3 linked regions of the Saccharomyces cerevisiae S288C genome follow. The protein of the gene in region 1 binds, or shares a complex with, the protein of each later gene. Each region holds a gene or a part of one and is shown on either strand. Other genes may lie near its edges.

Region 1 (6,410 bases):
TCGATTAATAAAGTTATACAAAACAAATATGACTCGTACATAAATTATCCGGTATTTATACTTTTTGAGCAGCGTAGTTGTATTTACCGTACAATTTATTCCAATACAATCTTAGCGGTTCATGTTCCAAGCCCAACTCCGTTATCTTATCGACTTCCTCAGCCGTCAAGTCGAAAGAGAATAAATTTTGCGCGTCAGAAATTCTTTGAGGTTTGGAAGAGGTGGTTACAGGCAACACGCCACGTTTGGTCACCCAACGTAGGATAATTTGGGCTTCAGATTTGATATATTTCTCGGATAACTCTTTCACGTATTCGAAAAACGGTTGAGAGTCATCTTGTGCTGTTTTCTTTTGTAAGGGACCTAGTGGCGAGTATGCTTCTACCAATATATCATGTTCTTGGCAAAATTTGTAGATCCCTGGTGTTTGATTCTGCAAGAAGGGACTGAACTCAATTTGATTAACTTGGGGCTTGACTTCCGCAACTTTCAGAATTCTTTGCAAGTCTTCCACAGCAAAGTTGGAAACACCGATATTTTTAGCTTTACCTGATTTGTACAATTGCTCCATGTCCTTCCAGGCTTCCTCCAAACTTAACCCGTTGACCTCTTTGGAAACAAATGGGCTATGCAAAAGGTATAGATCGACATAGTCAGTGCCCATCTTCTTCAAAGCTAAATCTAGTCCATCCGCTGGGGAATCTGACATCTTGATTTGAGGTGAGTACTTGTCTGTCAAGAATATTGCATTTCTTGGTTTTTCGGTGAGGCTAAGTGCCTTCCCAACTTCTGGATATGTTCTGTAGATCTCAGCAGCATCAATGTGAATAATGCCAGGTAACTTCAGAGCATAAACAATCTGTTCGACCAAACTGTTCGAAAAGGTAGCATCCGTTTCTTCGTTTTTATACCATCTAGTACCTGTCCCAATGATGGCGATTGCGGGGATTTTATTTCCATTATTCAAGGTAAAGAACTGTTGGTGAAATGACATCTGTAAAAGTGTTGTTAACTGACCTCCGTTTCTTTAGGGTAACACAACCGTTTACATGTGTATCCATATCCACGTAGTATCCGACTATCAATATATCCGTATATATATATATATATATATGGGATGAGCGTATGTGAGTGTTTTCGTAGATATTCAAAATACGAGTAAAGGAGATCCTAGGTGTGGATTAGTAAGGGGAGTGTGGCAACTTCCTTTTTCCGGTTAATTCTCCGCGCTTTCGTTAGACTATTTTGCAAGGACCCAAATAGGAGACGCATGGAGGCTTCTACAAAACAGCGTGCCGTTTTGATGGCATGAGCAGGGGGCGCAAAGGAAACACCGGTAAATCGCGCAAGACCTTGTTGGCCACGTAGCCTCAAAGGTTGAATTGACACTTGTCTACAGAACTTGAAAAGTACAAAAGGAGGTCACATAAAACAGTAAGCTTGAGAAGCTTTAAGATATGGTGCGAATCGTTACAGAATATTCCTTGCAGAAATAATGGCGGGTCCGTTCTCTTCTGAAGAAGTTACCGCCCTACTGAAGCATTGCTGTACGATCGTGTAATGTGATGTGTGTTCGACTGGAAAGCGGAGAACATTATGAAGTAAAAGGACAATCAGCACGCCTTCCAGACTTTTAAGAAACATTGATGGAGCCATTGATATCGGCACCGTACCTAACAACAACAAAAATGTCTGCTCCTGCTACGCTTGATGCTGCCTGTATTTTTTGCAAGATTATTAAAAGTATGTCACATTACTAATAAAGAGCTTACACTCACACCAATGATGGCGATAGTCTCTATGTAGTACATATACATAAAGCAGAATACTAACAATCGATCCGCTATGCAACAGGCGAAATTCCATCCTTCAAATTGATTGAAACAAAGTACTCGTATGCTTTCTTGGACATCCAACCTACTGCTGAAGGTCATGCTTTAATCATTCCTAAGTACCATGGTGCGAAGTTGCATGACATCCCGGACGAATTCCTTACCGATGCTATGCCGATTGCCAAGAGACTGGCCAAGGCAATGAAGTTGGACACTTATAATGTGTTGCAGAATAATGGTAAAATTGCGCATCAAGAAGTCGACCACGTCCACTTCCATTTGATTCCTAAGAGAGATGAGAAAAGTGGTTTGATTGTAGGGTGGCCAGCCCAAGAAACGGACTTCGATAAGTTGGGCAAGCTACACAAGGAATTGCTTGCCAAACTAGAAGGCTCCGATTAGAGTAATGCATGCTATGATTTCTTTTAGCGTTTTCTTTTCATATTTAAGTTTATACATATGGGTGTGTTTGCTTCCATTCATATCCACTCTATAATGCTAACAATCATGTTACTAGCCATCGTTGCTATCGATACCTTATGAACAGCTCTAACTCCTTCCTTTTTAACCTACCGCCTTTTGCGCACTACCCGGCAACCCCTCGAATGTGAATTCGGTGGCAAAAAAGGACATATATCAGGGCCGTGTATTTAAGAGATCCGCAGTTGATGTAGTCAATTAATCTAGTTCTATTAAGATTTGACTCAACGCCATTGACTCGATAACTGGCTCAACTACAAGACAGATATACAAATCATGGGTGAAGAACATAAACCACTTTTGGACGCCTCGGGTGTCGACCCTCGTGAGGAGGATAAAACCGCCACCGCCATTTTAAGAAGAAAGAAGAAGGACAACATGCTTTTGGTGGACGATGCTATCAATGATGACAATTCTGTCATTGCTATTAATTCTAACACCATGGACAAATTGGAATTGTTCCGTGGTGACACCGTTCTCGTTAAGGGCAAGAAGAGAAAAGATACTGTCTTAATTGTGTTGATCGATGACGAATTAGAAGACGGAGCATGCAGGATAAACCGTGTAGTTCGTAACAATTTACGTATTAGGCTGGGTGATTTAGTTACAATTCATCCTTGCCCCGATATCAAATACGCTACTAGAATTTCTGTGTTACCAATTGCTGATACGATCGAAGGTATAACTGGTAATCTTTTCGATGTTTTTTTGAAGCCTTATTTTGTGGAAGCCTACAGACCAGTGAGGAAAGGCGACCATTTTGTTGTCAGAGGCGGTATGAGACAAGTCGAATTCAAGGTTGTGGATGTCGAACCTGAAGAATATGCCGTCGTTGCTCAGGATACTATTATTCACTGGGAAGGTGAGCCAATCAACAGGGAAGATGAAGAAAATAATATGAATGAGGTGGGTTACGATGATATTGGTGGTTGTCGTAAGCAAATGGCTCAAATTAGGGAAATGGTTGAACTACCATTGAGACATCCTCAGTTGTTCAAGGCTATCGGTATCAAGCCACCAAGAGGTGTTTTGATGTATGGTCCCCCTGGTACTGGTAAAACCTTGATGGCAAGAGCTGTTGCTAATGAGACCGGTGCCTTTTTTTTCTTAATTAATGGTCCAGAAGTCATGTCAAAAATGGCTGGTGAATCAGAGTCTAACTTAAGAAAGGCCTTTGAAGAAGCCGAAAAGAACGCTCCAGCCATCATTTTTATCGATGAAATCGATTCTATAGCTCCAAAGAGAGACAAGACTAATGGTGAAGTTGAGAGAAGAGTTGTCTCTCAATTGTTAACTTTAATGGATGGTATGAAGGCAAGATCTAATGTTGTTGTCATTGCTGCTACCAATAGACCAAATTCGATTGATCCCGCTTTAAGAAGATTTGGTAGATTCGATCGTGAAGTCGACATTGGTATCCCAGATGCTACAGGTAGACTTGAAGTTCTACGTATTCACACCAAGAACATGAAGTTGGCTGATGATGTTGATTTGGAAGCATTGGCTGCTGAAACACACGGTTACGTGGGTGCTGATATTGCCTCTTTGTGTTCTGAAGCTGCCATGCAACAGATCCGTGAAAAAATGGACTTGATAGATTTAGATGAAGATGAAATTGATGCAGAGGTGCTCGATTCTTTAGGAGTCACCATGGACAACTTCAGATTCGCATTGGGCAATTCAAACCCATCTGCATTGCGTGAAACCGTTGTTGAAAGTGTCAATGTTACTTGGGATGACGTTGGTGGCCTAGATGAAATCAAGGAGGAATTGAAGGAAACTGTAGAATACCCAGTCTTACATCCAGACCAATACACAAAGTTTGGGTTATCACCATCAAAGGGTGTGTTGTTCTACGGTCCACCAGGTACAGGTAAAACTTTGTTAGCAAAAGCTGTAGCTACTGAGGTTTCTGCCAACTTTATCTCAGTCAAAGGTCCAGAATTATTGAGTATGTGGTATGGTGAATCGGAATCTAACATCCGTGATATTTTTGATAAGGCAAGAGCAGCTGCACCAACCGTCGTTTTTCTAGATGAATTAGACTCCATTGCCAAGGCAAGAGGTGGTTCCTTGGGTGATGCTGGTGGTGCTTCGGATAGAGTCGTCAACCAACTATTAACAGAAATGGATGGTATGAATGCTAAGAAAAATGTGTTCGTGATTGGTGCCACCAATAGGCCAGATCAAATTGATCCTGCTATTTTAAGACCTGGCAGATTGGATCAATTAATTTATGTTCCATTGCCAGATGAAAACGCTAGATTATCTATTCTAAATGCTCAATTAAGGAAAACACCACTAGAACCAGGGCTAGAGTTAACTGCGATTGCCAAGGCCACTCAAGGTTTCTCTGGTGCTGATTTACTCTATATTGTGCAGAGGGCTGCTAAATACGCTATCAAGGATTCTATCGAAGCTCACAGACAACACGAAGCTGAAAAGGAAGTGAAAGTAGAAGGTGAAGACGTGGAAATGACAGATGAGGGAGCAAAGGCTGAACAAGAACCAGAAGTAGATCCTGTTCCATATATTACAAAGGAGCATTTCGCAGAAGCTATGAAGACCGCTAAACGTTCTGTTTCAGATGCTGAATTGCGTCGTTATGAAGCATACTCACAGCAAATGAAAGCATCTAGAGGTCAATTCAGTAATTTCAACTTTAATGACGCTCCATTAGGTACTACGGCTACGGACAATGCTAACAGTAATAATAGTGCTCCAAGTGGAGCAGGTGCTGCATTTGGTTCTAATGCGGAGGAAGATGATGATTTGTATAGTTAGTTATATGCCAGGTATATTTTTATTTTAAATCGTAAATTCAAGTCATTTCTATAAAAAAAATCGTCAATTTTAACTCAATATTTTATGGCCCTTTTTATATTTATTTTCAAATTTGTCAAAAAAAGGAGAGCTAAATCATTAGAAAAAGAATGCATTATGGTATATTTATGTATATTAATATGTAAAATAAGAAAAAAGGGAGGCTGTAGGACCTCGGTCGTAAGAACATTTACCTGTGTTCTTCCGCCTTTTCCGAAAGTGCCATGAAGAAACGCAGGCCAGGCATAATTTCGACATTTAAAATCACGATTTGAAGTAATTTGACCAATTCGATTTCTTTACTTTTGTATCTTCTTTTATTATCTGTTTGTTTAACCCAGTTTTCAAGATCACAGGGCGCGCTTTACTAAAATTAAAAGGCTTAATTGTCGGTATTGGCCTATTTTCCTTGTTATCGTGTTTGGAGTCTATGTTGTATGTTCGCGGAGAAAACTTGTCGCTAATGTTATTGGATTCGTGTAGTTCGGGCAAAGTTCGTATTCTGTTACTATAATTGGATAAATTCGATCTTCTAGATTCCAACGTGGAGAGGGTCGAAGTGGAAGCTAAAGATGGGATAGACATATTGGACGATGAGCGCGAATGGGAAATGGATGTTTTGTTTACTATGTCTTTTTCTTGAGCAGAAAAATTTTTCAACGTGCGACAGTCTCTTTGCGATTTGTACAACTGCTCCTCTTTGATAGGCTTCAAGAATGGCGAGAGACATGTAATTAAATCATCTGTGGAAATGGTGACGTCCCAATCAAAATATTCTAATAGTTCCCTTTCAATAGTATTAACCTCCCTTAGGATGAGAAGGCCGTCCGTATATTCGGCCCAGTGTTTGTTAAGAGGGGAGGAATCATTTAACGTTTTTGCAGCTAATATTAGGCAACCTAAGAATATTCTATGCCTGGTGGTCTCTATACCATAAACGTTACTCGGTATTATTGATCTTAATTTGGCCAAATATACAGAGGTAGCCATCAGAGTCGGAGTTTGAACGTTAGAATGCTTGATCAGTCTGTTGATGAATTTAGTCAACGGTGGTGCTGGCAATGCAATATCTATCATACTATTCGTCTTCTTAATTTTGATAATGGAAGCTGTGGTCGATGCTAGATATTGCACCATTTCCTTAGATACAGCCTTCCTATTGAATTTCAGCAAGGCTTCGTAGTTTGACATCTTTTGTAGTAAAAAGTTGCTGCCGTATTGAAATTGCTCTTGTCGGATCAGGTTGTTTAGCACCGGGTCTTACTTTTATAAAGG
Region 2 (4,919 bases), on another chromosome or scaffold:
ATTCTGAATCATCTGGAACATGATCCCAAAATGTCTGGCTTTCGCGGCGTTGAATCCACCGTGCACATTTTTTAATTGTCTTTATACCATCGACCTCACTAACTGCGAGTTTTAAGAAAAGTTCCGCGAGAATGTTCAAAGAAGACCAGTCAAATGGTATGCATTTATATTTTGCATCAATTTTTTTCCAGTTGATGTCAGGAAACATCTGCCTATCTTCATCTTGTTCAAGGGGTTCCTTTTCGTCTGCATCCTCCCCTTCTGCGGCGCTTTCTTCGTCTGAAGAATCTAAGGCATTTTCTAAAGCAGCTAATATCGCTTCCCTTCTCTCAACATTAGCATTAAACACTTTCATATAGAGCTCAATTGAATCTTCAATCCGATCATAATCAACATAAAGAATGGCCAACTCCCTCAATATGTTTGCATCATAAGGATTGTACATGTAAAGCCTTTGAAATCCATCTAAAGCTCTTGCTAACTGTCCTGTCTTCTTGTACAACATAGACCGGCGATAAATTGATTCCCATTCCATAGGATTCAAACTTATTACCCTGGAAAAGCAGTAGATGGCCTGCCTAACATGATCTAAATCGGCGGACAGTATAGCGACTATCTTCCAGAATTCCCAATCGGAAGCATTTAGGTGAGCTGCCAGGAACCAAGAGTTACAACAATCATTAAGCCTTCCTTGCAATTGATATATATCTCCTAGGGTCTCGTAAGCAGCAAAATTACGTGCATCTTTTTTAATTACCTCATTAAATAATCTTTCGGCCACTTGTAAATCATTCCTGACAAAAGCTTCATTGGCTTGAGAAAGTAATTGCGCTACCTCTGGATCAAGCACTCTTTCTTTTCTTTGGCGGCCGTAAGATTTACCTTTGTCATTTTTCTTCTTCTTTTTTACCTTAAAGTTACTTGCTTCCCTAATCGCGTTCATGAAATCTTCCTCATCGTCTTCAGATATTTCACCGTAGTCCGAGAATTCTGCCAACAAAGAACTGTCTCGTTCGGAATTATATTCATCTTCGCTTAATTGTAGATCATGAGGTACATCCTCGTCATCATATTCCTCATCTTGAATCAAATGCTTATAGTCATCAATATTTCCGTATAGATGCTCTTCATCCTCATCGTTAACTTTACCCGTATCAGCGCTTTCTCGTTCAGCTGATTGATTTTGCTGTTCCTTTTTCAATTTTCCTGCTGCCATCACAGATACACTTGAGGGTTTCTTTCTCTAGCTTCAGATTCATTGTTGACTGGTGTTATTATACACAGTGCGCTGCCATTATTATCGTTCTTCTATTTCTAGCCGAAGCGCCTTAAAAAAAAAAAGTGTCCACTTTGGGAAACTCGCCTTTACGACGAAAAAGTCAAACTTGCGTTCTACGAAAGAGAAGAATTCCTTTTTTGGGTTAGGTGGCGAAAAATAAAGGTAGTTAAAAGTAATCCTGGCTGGTCTATGTGAATAGGGAAGAGATAATGATGTAGTTTTCAATAGATAGTAACACATACCATAGCAAGGGAGGAAAAAATATCAAAGTGATACTGTAAAATATAATAAAAATGTTTTCTGGCTTTAGTTCTTTTGGCGGCGGAAATGGTTTTGTAAATATGCCTCAAACGTTTGAGGAGTTCTTTAGATGCTACCCTATAGCTATGATGAATGATAGAATACGGAAGGATGACGCAAACTTCGGCGGGAAAATATTCCTGCCACCAAGTGCTCTAAGCAAACTATCCATGTTGAACATAAGATACCCCATGCTTTTTAAACTAACTGCCAATGAAACTGGACGTGTGACACATGGAGGTGTTTTAGAATTTATTGCTGAAGAGGGCAGAGTTTACTTACCACAATGGATGATGGAAACTTTGGGTATACAGCCAGGATCTCTACTGCAAATTTCATCTACTGATGTACCTCTGGGCCAGTTTGTGAAGTTAGAACCTCAGTCTGTAGATTTCTTGGATATTTCCGACCCCAAAGCAGTTTTGGAAAACGTACTGAGGAATTTCTCGACTTTGACCGTGGACGATGTTATTGAGATTAGTTACAATGGTAAAACTTTCAAAATTAAGATCTTAGAAGTCAAACCAGAATCATCATCGAAGAGTATATGTGTCATTGAAACAGATTTAGTAACAGATTTTGCTCCACCTGTAGGATATGTGGAACCGGATTACAAAGCGCTGAAAGCTCAGCAAGATAAAGAAAAAAAGAATTCTTTTGGTAAGGGCCAAGTTTTGGATCCCTCGGTGCTTGGCCAGGGATCGATGTCCACAAGAATCGACTATGCGGGTATCGCTAACAGTAGCAGAAACAAACTATCTAAATTTGTAGGTCAGGGACAAAACATATCTGGTAAAGCTCCGAAAGCGGAGCCCAAGCAAGATATAAAAGATATGAAGATAACGTTTGATGGCGAGCCCGCCAAGCTAGATCTGCCTGAAGGCCAATTATTCTTTGGTTTCCCAATGGTCCTACCGAAAGAAGACGAAGAAAGTGCCGCTGGTAGCAAATCCAGTGAACAAAATTTCCAAGGCCAAGGGATCTCACTAAGGAAGAGCAATAAGAGAAAAACGAAAAGTGACCATGATTCGTCCAAGTCCAAGGCTCCCAAAAGCCCGGAAGTAATCGAAATTGACTAAAAGATATATACTAGTATACAACAATATAGTGTCTTTGACAGATATATAGAGCATTTTCAAGTTAACAGATCTTAGAATCCAAGTATCTTATGCATCGCATTAGCTCTGCTGCATTTGCTGTTCGTTTAGTAAAAATAATTACGTGCGCGGTTGCGCGATATTTCCCTTGCTTAATGCCGAAGTAATTCTCTTCGTTTACCCATACTCGAATCTATTGTGTTGTTGAAAAATAAAAAAAAAAAGAACCAGGTTATATAATTGTGAGTTGATCAGTATATAAATGAGAGAAAAGAAGTTTCTATTGTTCCAAATTATATCCAAGCTGATTTTTTAACCCTTACCTCACGAAAAGCAAGTTTAAGACAAACACTCATAAGAATCCTTACATATACTAAAAAACAAATGCAAGTCTCCCCAGCTATTGTAAAAGGTATCGCAGTCTCATCATTAGGTTTATACGCCGGTATTTTAACTTCATCTACCGTGATTTCTATTACCACCCCAATAAATGTTCTAACTCAACATTTGAAGAATGTTTTGTGCACATTAGGATGCTGGAGCACCGTTTTAGGTGGTTTAGCTACTGGTGCCTTTGGACTCAGCTACTATCTAGCTGCACCAGGAGAAAGACCAAACTACCTTTTGTGCGGACTTGGTGTCGCCCCATTATCTGCAGCCTACCTATACTTAGTATCACTGTTCAATCACAAGCTAGCCCCAAAATGCACACGTGACCAAAATGATTTAGAAAAGCAAAAGGATGAAAAATTACCCCAACATCACCCGGAAGTCAAAGATGGGGAAGCTGCATGCCCATTCTCAAAGATGAACAACGCCAAAACATTAAAACCTGAATCCGAAAGAAGCGTAAAATGTCACTCATACATGTCATTGCACATGAGCATTGTAACCGGTATAACAATTTTTACCTTTGGTAAGTGTATCCTAGATGGATTCAAAGCATGAACGACGAAGCACGTGACACGTTCCCTTCAAACATCACAATTATTTAAGCGAGACTAATATATATGTTTAGCGAAAAAAAAGGCCAAAAAAACTAGTAAATATACAAAGCAGAGTATTTTTGGCTCTTGTCCACATTGGATAAGAGAATATTTATTTTTCACACAGAAAAAAAAGTTATATACGTATCTCTAAGAAAGTCAAAGACAAATTACGTAGAATGTGATTCATTCCCATTTCGCCCGTACACTCTCTGTCTCTGTCTCTGTCCCAAACTTCCCTTCCTATACGTATTCATAATCTGCTTAAACGTCAACAGTAGTTTCGGAACATCTTCATACGTAGGGAATACGACTTTTTTCTTTTCACCTGCAGCTTGAGCCAAACTAAAACTGGGATCCGGATAAACTATTAATAAAGGATCGCAAAGTCCATACGCCAGTTTAATGGGAATGAAATGATATTGCGAAGTGACGTCAAGAATCGACTTTAAGCTATATCCGAAGTCAAGAAAGCCGAACCTTACATGCGGTCGGAAAGCAAACGAGGAGATTAGATTGGTTTTCATATCCGCTAAATTTTCTTTTGATTTTACTTTGGCTTAATCTAATGCATGTATATCGGAAGAAGCAACCGATCTGGCCCAGTTGAGTCGTGCTACCTTAGTCATGCCCAGGAAAACCGGATTCCTTCTTTTCATTATGACATCCGTTTAGGTCAATAGGCTTTTTTTTCTCTCGCCCGTGCCTCTCCGTGTTCGATGAATGTGCAGCTTGCCTCCGAGCGGGCGAGCCACCTCGAGCGGGTGACGAAATAGTGGAAAAGAAACGGGGAAGCAAAACTGTGCTGTTCTGGCCCGCAGCGGACGAACGTCATTAAAGGCGCTCCATTTCTGTCGTGAGGGTCTTTCGGTGCGGTGGTGAGGCTGCGTAAACAAGCTTGCTCTTCATACCCCTCCCGTGGAGCTAGTTCGGAAGGACTATTGGCGCATCTTCTGTTGAGAGGTTCCGTAATTCTCCGTAACGTCCCGTTCACCACTTTGCATGTGCTCTCACGTACGGCCGTCTCTTTTCGGCCTTCGGCCCGTTCCGATTTTTGTACCCCTTACGTGCTTTGAATTCTAGAAGGCATCTCCTCTCCGATGGCTTGGTACAGGGAGCACTAGGGAAATTGCACATGGAAGTATCTGGAATACAAAGTTTTTGAAAAGAAAAGCCGAGCGTAATATTGGGACAATACCCAGTTCTCAGCCTTTTCAGCGCGGGTATGAGACAGCTTGCAACAGGTAAAAGGAAGTT
Region 3 (5,800 bases), 900 kb from region 1:
TTCTTGCCTTTGTTGAACTTCTAAACAGCTTACTCATATGAATACCTTGGTTAATTAAGTGATCGGTATGGATTTGCAGATCTTGTTGTTTATAGAAATATGAAATCGGGTCTGGTTTATATGTTATGATAGTCTTGATTTCCTTGGATGTTATAGGTTGTAGTGAGTCCGTTTCTTTGTCATACTTCAATGCGCCATTTTCAATACCTTTTTTGAGTCTCGATAAAAGCCGTCTTTGTTCGTCGATGTATTTATTATATTCTTCCAGCGTTAAATCGTCTTCTAATGACTTAAAGGAAGCGATGTATTCGTGCAAGCTTTCGTATCCCGGCTTGACTACATGCAACGGGTTCGTTATGGTTTGCTTTGGAGGATGGACTACCAGTTTTATTCTAGGCTTCTTTTTCTTTCTACCTCTTTTTTTCTTTATATCTTCCTCTTCGGATGATGTGGTGAAATAAAAATTATCACTATAATGTTCACTAGTATTTTCAAAGGAGCTATCATCAGAAGGACACTTTATAGTGAAGGCTTCAGAGGGTTCTTCAACTTTTGCGATGTGATCATATCTCTCTTCAGCTATATGTTCATGCAATGGCAGTGGATTTTCCTTTCTTTCACTTTTGAACTTCAAGGACTTCGCTGCTTCTCTCTTCTTCAAATGTTGTATTGGTCTTTTTTGCGGTACTATAGATTTCCTATTTGAATGATCACTTAGTTTGTATTTTAGCTCCTCACATTTATTTCGTACTAATGGTGCTATGCTTTCTAACTTCAGTTCTATATCACCCTTTTTCTCATTAGTCGTTTCTGAACTAACAACTGTCGATGTCCTGAGGTTTCGCCTTCTGCGAGTAAGATCACCATTCGTGCCTTTCTTGGCTACGTCATCAGTGAATTTTTCTCCTCTCTCCTCTAACGACAAGTGTGTTTCCCTGAGAAACTTCTGAAAACTTTCAGAATCATTAAAATGGGTTGGATCATAATCTACCAATGAAACAAACTCTCTTAAATGGAACAGTTCATTCGTCAGAAGATCATACCTAAACTTCAAATCCGCCAGATCCTGTTCACCACCAGCCTTTTTGTCTTTCGCATGCGATTTACGAGATGTGGTCATATATTCTTGTAATGCAATAACTTGGAAAATGCAAAGAGCAGTTAGAATTCATAAATTTTCAGCTTAAGGAAATATTTTCTAAGAGTTAAAATGGTATTGTTGAATACCTCTCAAATGCAGTAATCGAATGCTTTGGGTCTTATCTAGTTTAAAGCTCAAAATCTATCCTTTTTGCACGTAAACACTTTAGAATCCCGCTATCCCTTTGCACTCTTTCTTCAAGTCTCCTCTTTTTTTTTTTTCTCGTAAGTTGTCGCGAAACGCCACCGAAAAATCTTAAGGAAATAATATTAAAAACTGAAAAAAAAAAAATTGAGAAAGTATTACCCTCCCTTAATAATCGTATAGAGGTATAAACGGGTAACATTATGCGAGCAATATGTTCACTACTGCATCAACGTATAGTGAAAAATGTCCATAGGTAGTACATACAGTCCACCAGTTGAAGGTTAACATACAGGTCGTTGAATCATCTAAATATATTTGTAAAGTACTCGAACATGAGCTCTAGAGCATTAAGGAGATTACAAGATGATAATGCTCTGCTAGAGTCGCTGCTATCGAATTCAAATGCGAATAAAATGACGAGTGGTAAAAGTACTGCCGGTAATATTCAGAAACGGGAGAACATCTTCTCTATGATGAATAACGTACGTGATTCAGATAATAGCACTGATGAAGGACAAATGTCTGAGCAGGATGAAGAAGCTGCTGCTGCTGGGGAGCGTGATACTCAAAGTAATGGTCAACCTAAAAGAATTACACTAGCATCCAAGTCTTCTAGAAGGAAAAAGAATAAAAAGGCAAAAAGGAAGCAAAAAAACCATACCGCCGAGGCTGCAAAAGACAAGGGTTCCGATGATGATGATGATGATGAAGAATTCGACAAGATTATCCAACAGTTCAAAAAAACTGATATATTGAAGTACGGTAAGACTAAAAATGATGACACTAATGAGGAAGGTTTCTTCACGGCATCTGAACCAGAGGAAGCATCTAGCCAACCTTGGAAGTCATTTTTAAGCTTAGAAAGTGATCCGGGCTTCACAAAGTTCCCCATTTCATGTTTGAGGCATTCTTGCAAATTTTTTCAAAATGATTTCAAGAAATTGGACCCCCATACGGAATTCAAACTTTTATTTGACGATATATCTCCAGAGTCTCTTGAAGATATTGATTCGATGACATCCACACCTGTCTCCCCTCAGCAGCTGAAACAGATTCAGAGACTGAAAAGATTAATTAGAAACTGGGGCGGAAAAGATCATAGATTGGCACCTAATGGCCCCGGAATGCACCCGCAACATTTGAAGTTTACCAAGATCAGAGATGATTGGATCCCAACTCAAAGAGGTGAGCTCTCTATGAAACTTTTAAGTTCTGATGATCTTTTAGATTGGCAATTATGGGAAAGGCCGTTAGATTGGAAGGATGTTATCCAAAACGATGTCAGTCAGTGGCAAAAATTCATTTCTTTTTATAAGTTCGAACCTTTAAATTCCGACCTGAGCAAGAAATCAATGATGGACTTCTACTTAAGTGTTATTGTTCACCCTGATCATGAAGCCCTTATAAATTTGATTTCTTCTAAATTTCCGTATCATGTGCCTGGACTGCTACAAGTTGCTTTGATATTTATTAGGCAAGGTGATAGATCAAACACTAATGGATTGTTACAAAGAGCACTCTTTGTCTTTGATAGAGCTTTGAAAGCAAATATTATTTTCGATTCCTTGAATTGTCAACTACCTTATATATACTTCTTCAACAGACAGTTTTACTTGGCAATATTTAGATACATCCAATCTCTTGCTCAAAGAGGTGTTATAGGAACTGCTAGTGAATGGACAAAAGTTCTCTGGTCACTGAGCCCATTGGAAGATCCTTTAGGATGCAGGTATTTCCTCGATCACTATTTTCTATTGAATAATGACTATCAGTACATTATAGAATTATCCAACTCTCCATTAATGAACTGTTATAAACAGTGGAATACTTTAGGATTTTCCTTGGCGGTAGTACTAAGCTTCCTAAGAATAAATGAGATGAGTTCCGCCCGCAATGCGCTTCTAAAAGCCTTTAAGCATCATCCTTTACAACTGTCAGAACTTTTCAAGGAGAAACTCTTGGGCGATCATGCGCTAACTAAAGATTTATCCATTGATGGCCATTCGGCAGAAAACTTGGAATTAAAGGCATATATGGCCCGCTTCCCGTTACTTTGGAATAGAAACGAAGAGGTAACATTTTTGCATGATGAAATGTCGAGTATTTTACAGGATTACCATAGAGGAAACGTTACAATCGATTCAAATGATGGGCAAGATCACAATAACATTAACAACTTGCAATCACCTTTCTTTATTGCGGGAATCCCAATTAACTTATTAAGATTCGCCATACTATCTGAGGAGTCTTCTGTAATGGCTGCAATTCCATCATTTATCTGGTCTGATAATGAAGTATATGAGTTTGACGTATTACCACCAATGCCTACGTCAAAAGAATCAATCGAAGTGGTTGAAAACATCAAAACCTTTATTAATGAAAAGGATTTAGCTGTCCTTCAGGCAGAAAGAATGCAAGATGAGGACCTGTTGAATCAAATTAGACAAATATCTTTGCAACAGTACATTCATGAAAATGAAGAGTCAAATGAAAATGAGGGTTAATAAGAAATGTTGCAGCTCATTTTCTAGTACGCAGAGTAAGGCTAAAGCACTTATTTGAATTTAACGTTATTCATTGCATAGTTCAGAAAGGGTGTGATCCAAAAGAAAATGCATATACGAGTGGTCCGACGTTTACATATGTACTAGTGACTGTATATTAATATATGCACATTTATGTAGCTACGGATTTCACTTTATAAAAGATCTTCTTTTTTGATATTCTAATATTCGTAACAATGATTTCAACGGGTAGACAGGTGCCAAACTGCTGGCAAAGATTAAGTTGGAAGCATCTCCTTTCGTCATCTTAGTATTTACATAAGTAGTAACATCATCCAAAGATAATCTAATAAAATCTTTTGAGGACTCACCATATACTTTCTTTAGCTTTCTGAAAACAAAGTCTCTTTGTTTTGACGTAGGAACTGTTTGTCTCCATTTCGAGTATTTACTAGATATTGCCTGGTATTGCATTGTTTGTCCTTCCAAGTCCGAATTTAGAGTATTTATGATTTTTTCCACCTTTGACATTACATTCCAAAGATTAGCGTCTTTTATTATACTTTTTGGAACATAGTCCGCGTATTTATTTGTTATAAAACACGGTAATTGTCGATACATTTTTAGATGATATACCATCGACAATTTGTCTTCGGATTTTTCTTTGTATATTCTCAAATGATTCTTACCTTTTAAAGGGAGGCCCCACGCATTTGAGGCAAATTTCACCCACGGATATTGTGAGTTCATCAACAGCTCCATTTCTTTTACAGCTTCAGAAGCTTCATCAAACTCCTTGCCAGATGGATATGAGTTATTGCTCTGTGTAAAATTCCTAAAACTATCAAAGGAGCACAAGGTTAAATCAACCGAATTTGCACTGTGAATCCAATCGGCAACGCTATTTCTTTCAGTTACATTTTCCATTGCTGCTTCATCAGTCTGAAATAAAGCCCTTAACCTTTCGTCGATTTTTTGTTGTTTAGCTATTATCTCTCCTTGGATTGCTTTTAAATCTTCAACTGTAGCATCATCAAATTCGATATCATCACTCCTTATACCCAGTAGAGTGGGCGCTGAAACCACTCCAACACTAGAAGCTCCAATGAAGTCGATGATATGACAGTGGTCTTTCGAATGGTGTAACCGTAAACCTCTTCCAATCATTTGAATCAAAAGTGAACGCGATTTTGTGGGCCTACACAGTAGTATACAATCAATATTTGGCATGTCCGTTCCTTCTGTGAATATTCCACAGTTCATGAGTACTTCAGTTTCCCCATTTTTGAATTTTTGAATTATATTATCTCGTTCTATCTGTTTTGTATCCGAGGTGACATAGTCCGTATTAATACCGTTGTCTTTAAATAATTTATGCAAACTTTGTACATGGGCTTTATCAACGCCAAACAGTAATGTTGATTTTAGTGATTTCTCTTGCTTTTTATGAAGGTAAGTTTTCAGAATTACTTCATTAATTTCTTTCGTATTCATTAGAGACGATAACGGTGCCAGCTGGAAGTCATCTGCAGTGCTTTTTACATCTGATAAGTCTGCTTCAATTTTGACTGACGTGAATTTTGCCTCACATAGCCACTTGTCATCGATCATTTCCAGTATTCCCCGGTGGTACACAATTTTATCCATTACCATTGACAAAGCTCTTTTATCTGCTCTTTCGAAAGTCGCACTAAAGCCAATAACAGGGATTTTGGTTTCTGCAGTTGAAGCTTTGAAATGATCTAAGATACTTCTATAAGAATTAGCCACAGAATGATGTGCTTCATCAATGATGATGAGATTCACTGAATTAGTATCATATTTATGGAGTCTTCTAATCAACGTCTGAACAGATGCAACAATCACGTCAGAATCTTCAATATCGCAATCATATTTTCCCATTTCTATGTGAACCTTTAAGTCGGGGAATATTTTTTTAAGAGTGGCCGTCGCTTGTAAGGCCAGCTCCCTCCTGTGAACCAGGATCAACGATTTAAAATTTCCTTGA

The links.
Region 2: CDC48 (region 1) and UFD1 share a complex: the UniProt entries of both Saccharomyces cerevisiae proteins name them as parts of the heterotrimeric CDC48-NPL4-UFD1 ATPase complex.
Region 3: CDC48 (region 1) and RQC1 share a complex: the UniProt entries of both Saccharomyces cerevisiae proteins name them as parts of the ribosome quality control complex.

Annotation. Positions count from the first base shown.
Region 1 is NC_001136.10:234,843-241,252, reverse strand, and holds CDC48 (AAA family ATPase CDC48), read left to right. Parts: upstream 1-2,588; coding exon 2,589-5,096; downstream 5,097-6,410. Other genes in the region: YDL124W (aldo-keto reductase superfamily protein), read right to left, coding at 56-994; HNT1 (adenosine 5'-monophosphoramidase), read left to right, coding at 1,647-1,743, 1,855-2,234; cyclin PCL2, read right to left, coding at 5,400-6,326. UniProt on the Saccharomyces cerevisiae protein: ATP-dependent chaperone which probably uses the energy provided by ATP hydrolysis to generate mechanical force to unfold substrate proteins, disassemble protein complexes, and disaggregate protein aggregates.
Region 2 is NC_001139.9:588,254-593,172, forward strand, and holds UFD1 (polyubiquitin-binding protein UFD1), read left to right. Parts: upstream 1-1,572; coding exon 1,573-2,658; downstream 2,659-4,919. Other genes in the region: transcription factor TFIIIC subunit TFC4, read right to left, coding at 1-1,216; SCM4 (Scm4p), read left to right, coding at 3,061-3,624; YGR050C (uncharacterized protein), read right to left, coding at 3,833-4,189. UniProt on the Saccharomyces cerevisiae protein: Functions at a post-ubiquitation step in the ubiquitin fusion degradation (UFD) pathway. Has a role in the endoplasmic reticulum-associated degradation (ERAD) pathway.
Region 3 is NC_001136.10:1,131,252-1,137,051, reverse strand, and holds RQC1 (Rqc1p), read left to right. Parts: upstream 1-1,620; coding exon 1,621-3,792; downstream 3,793-5,800. Other genes in the region: chromatin-remodeling protein SWR1, read right to left, coding at 1-1,120; IRC3 (double-stranded DNA-dependent ATPase), read right to left, coding at 3,982-5,800. UniProt on the Saccharomyces cerevisiae protein: Component of the ribosome quality control complex (RQC), a ribosome-associated complex that mediates ubiquitination and extraction of incompletely synthesized nascent chains for proteasomal degradation.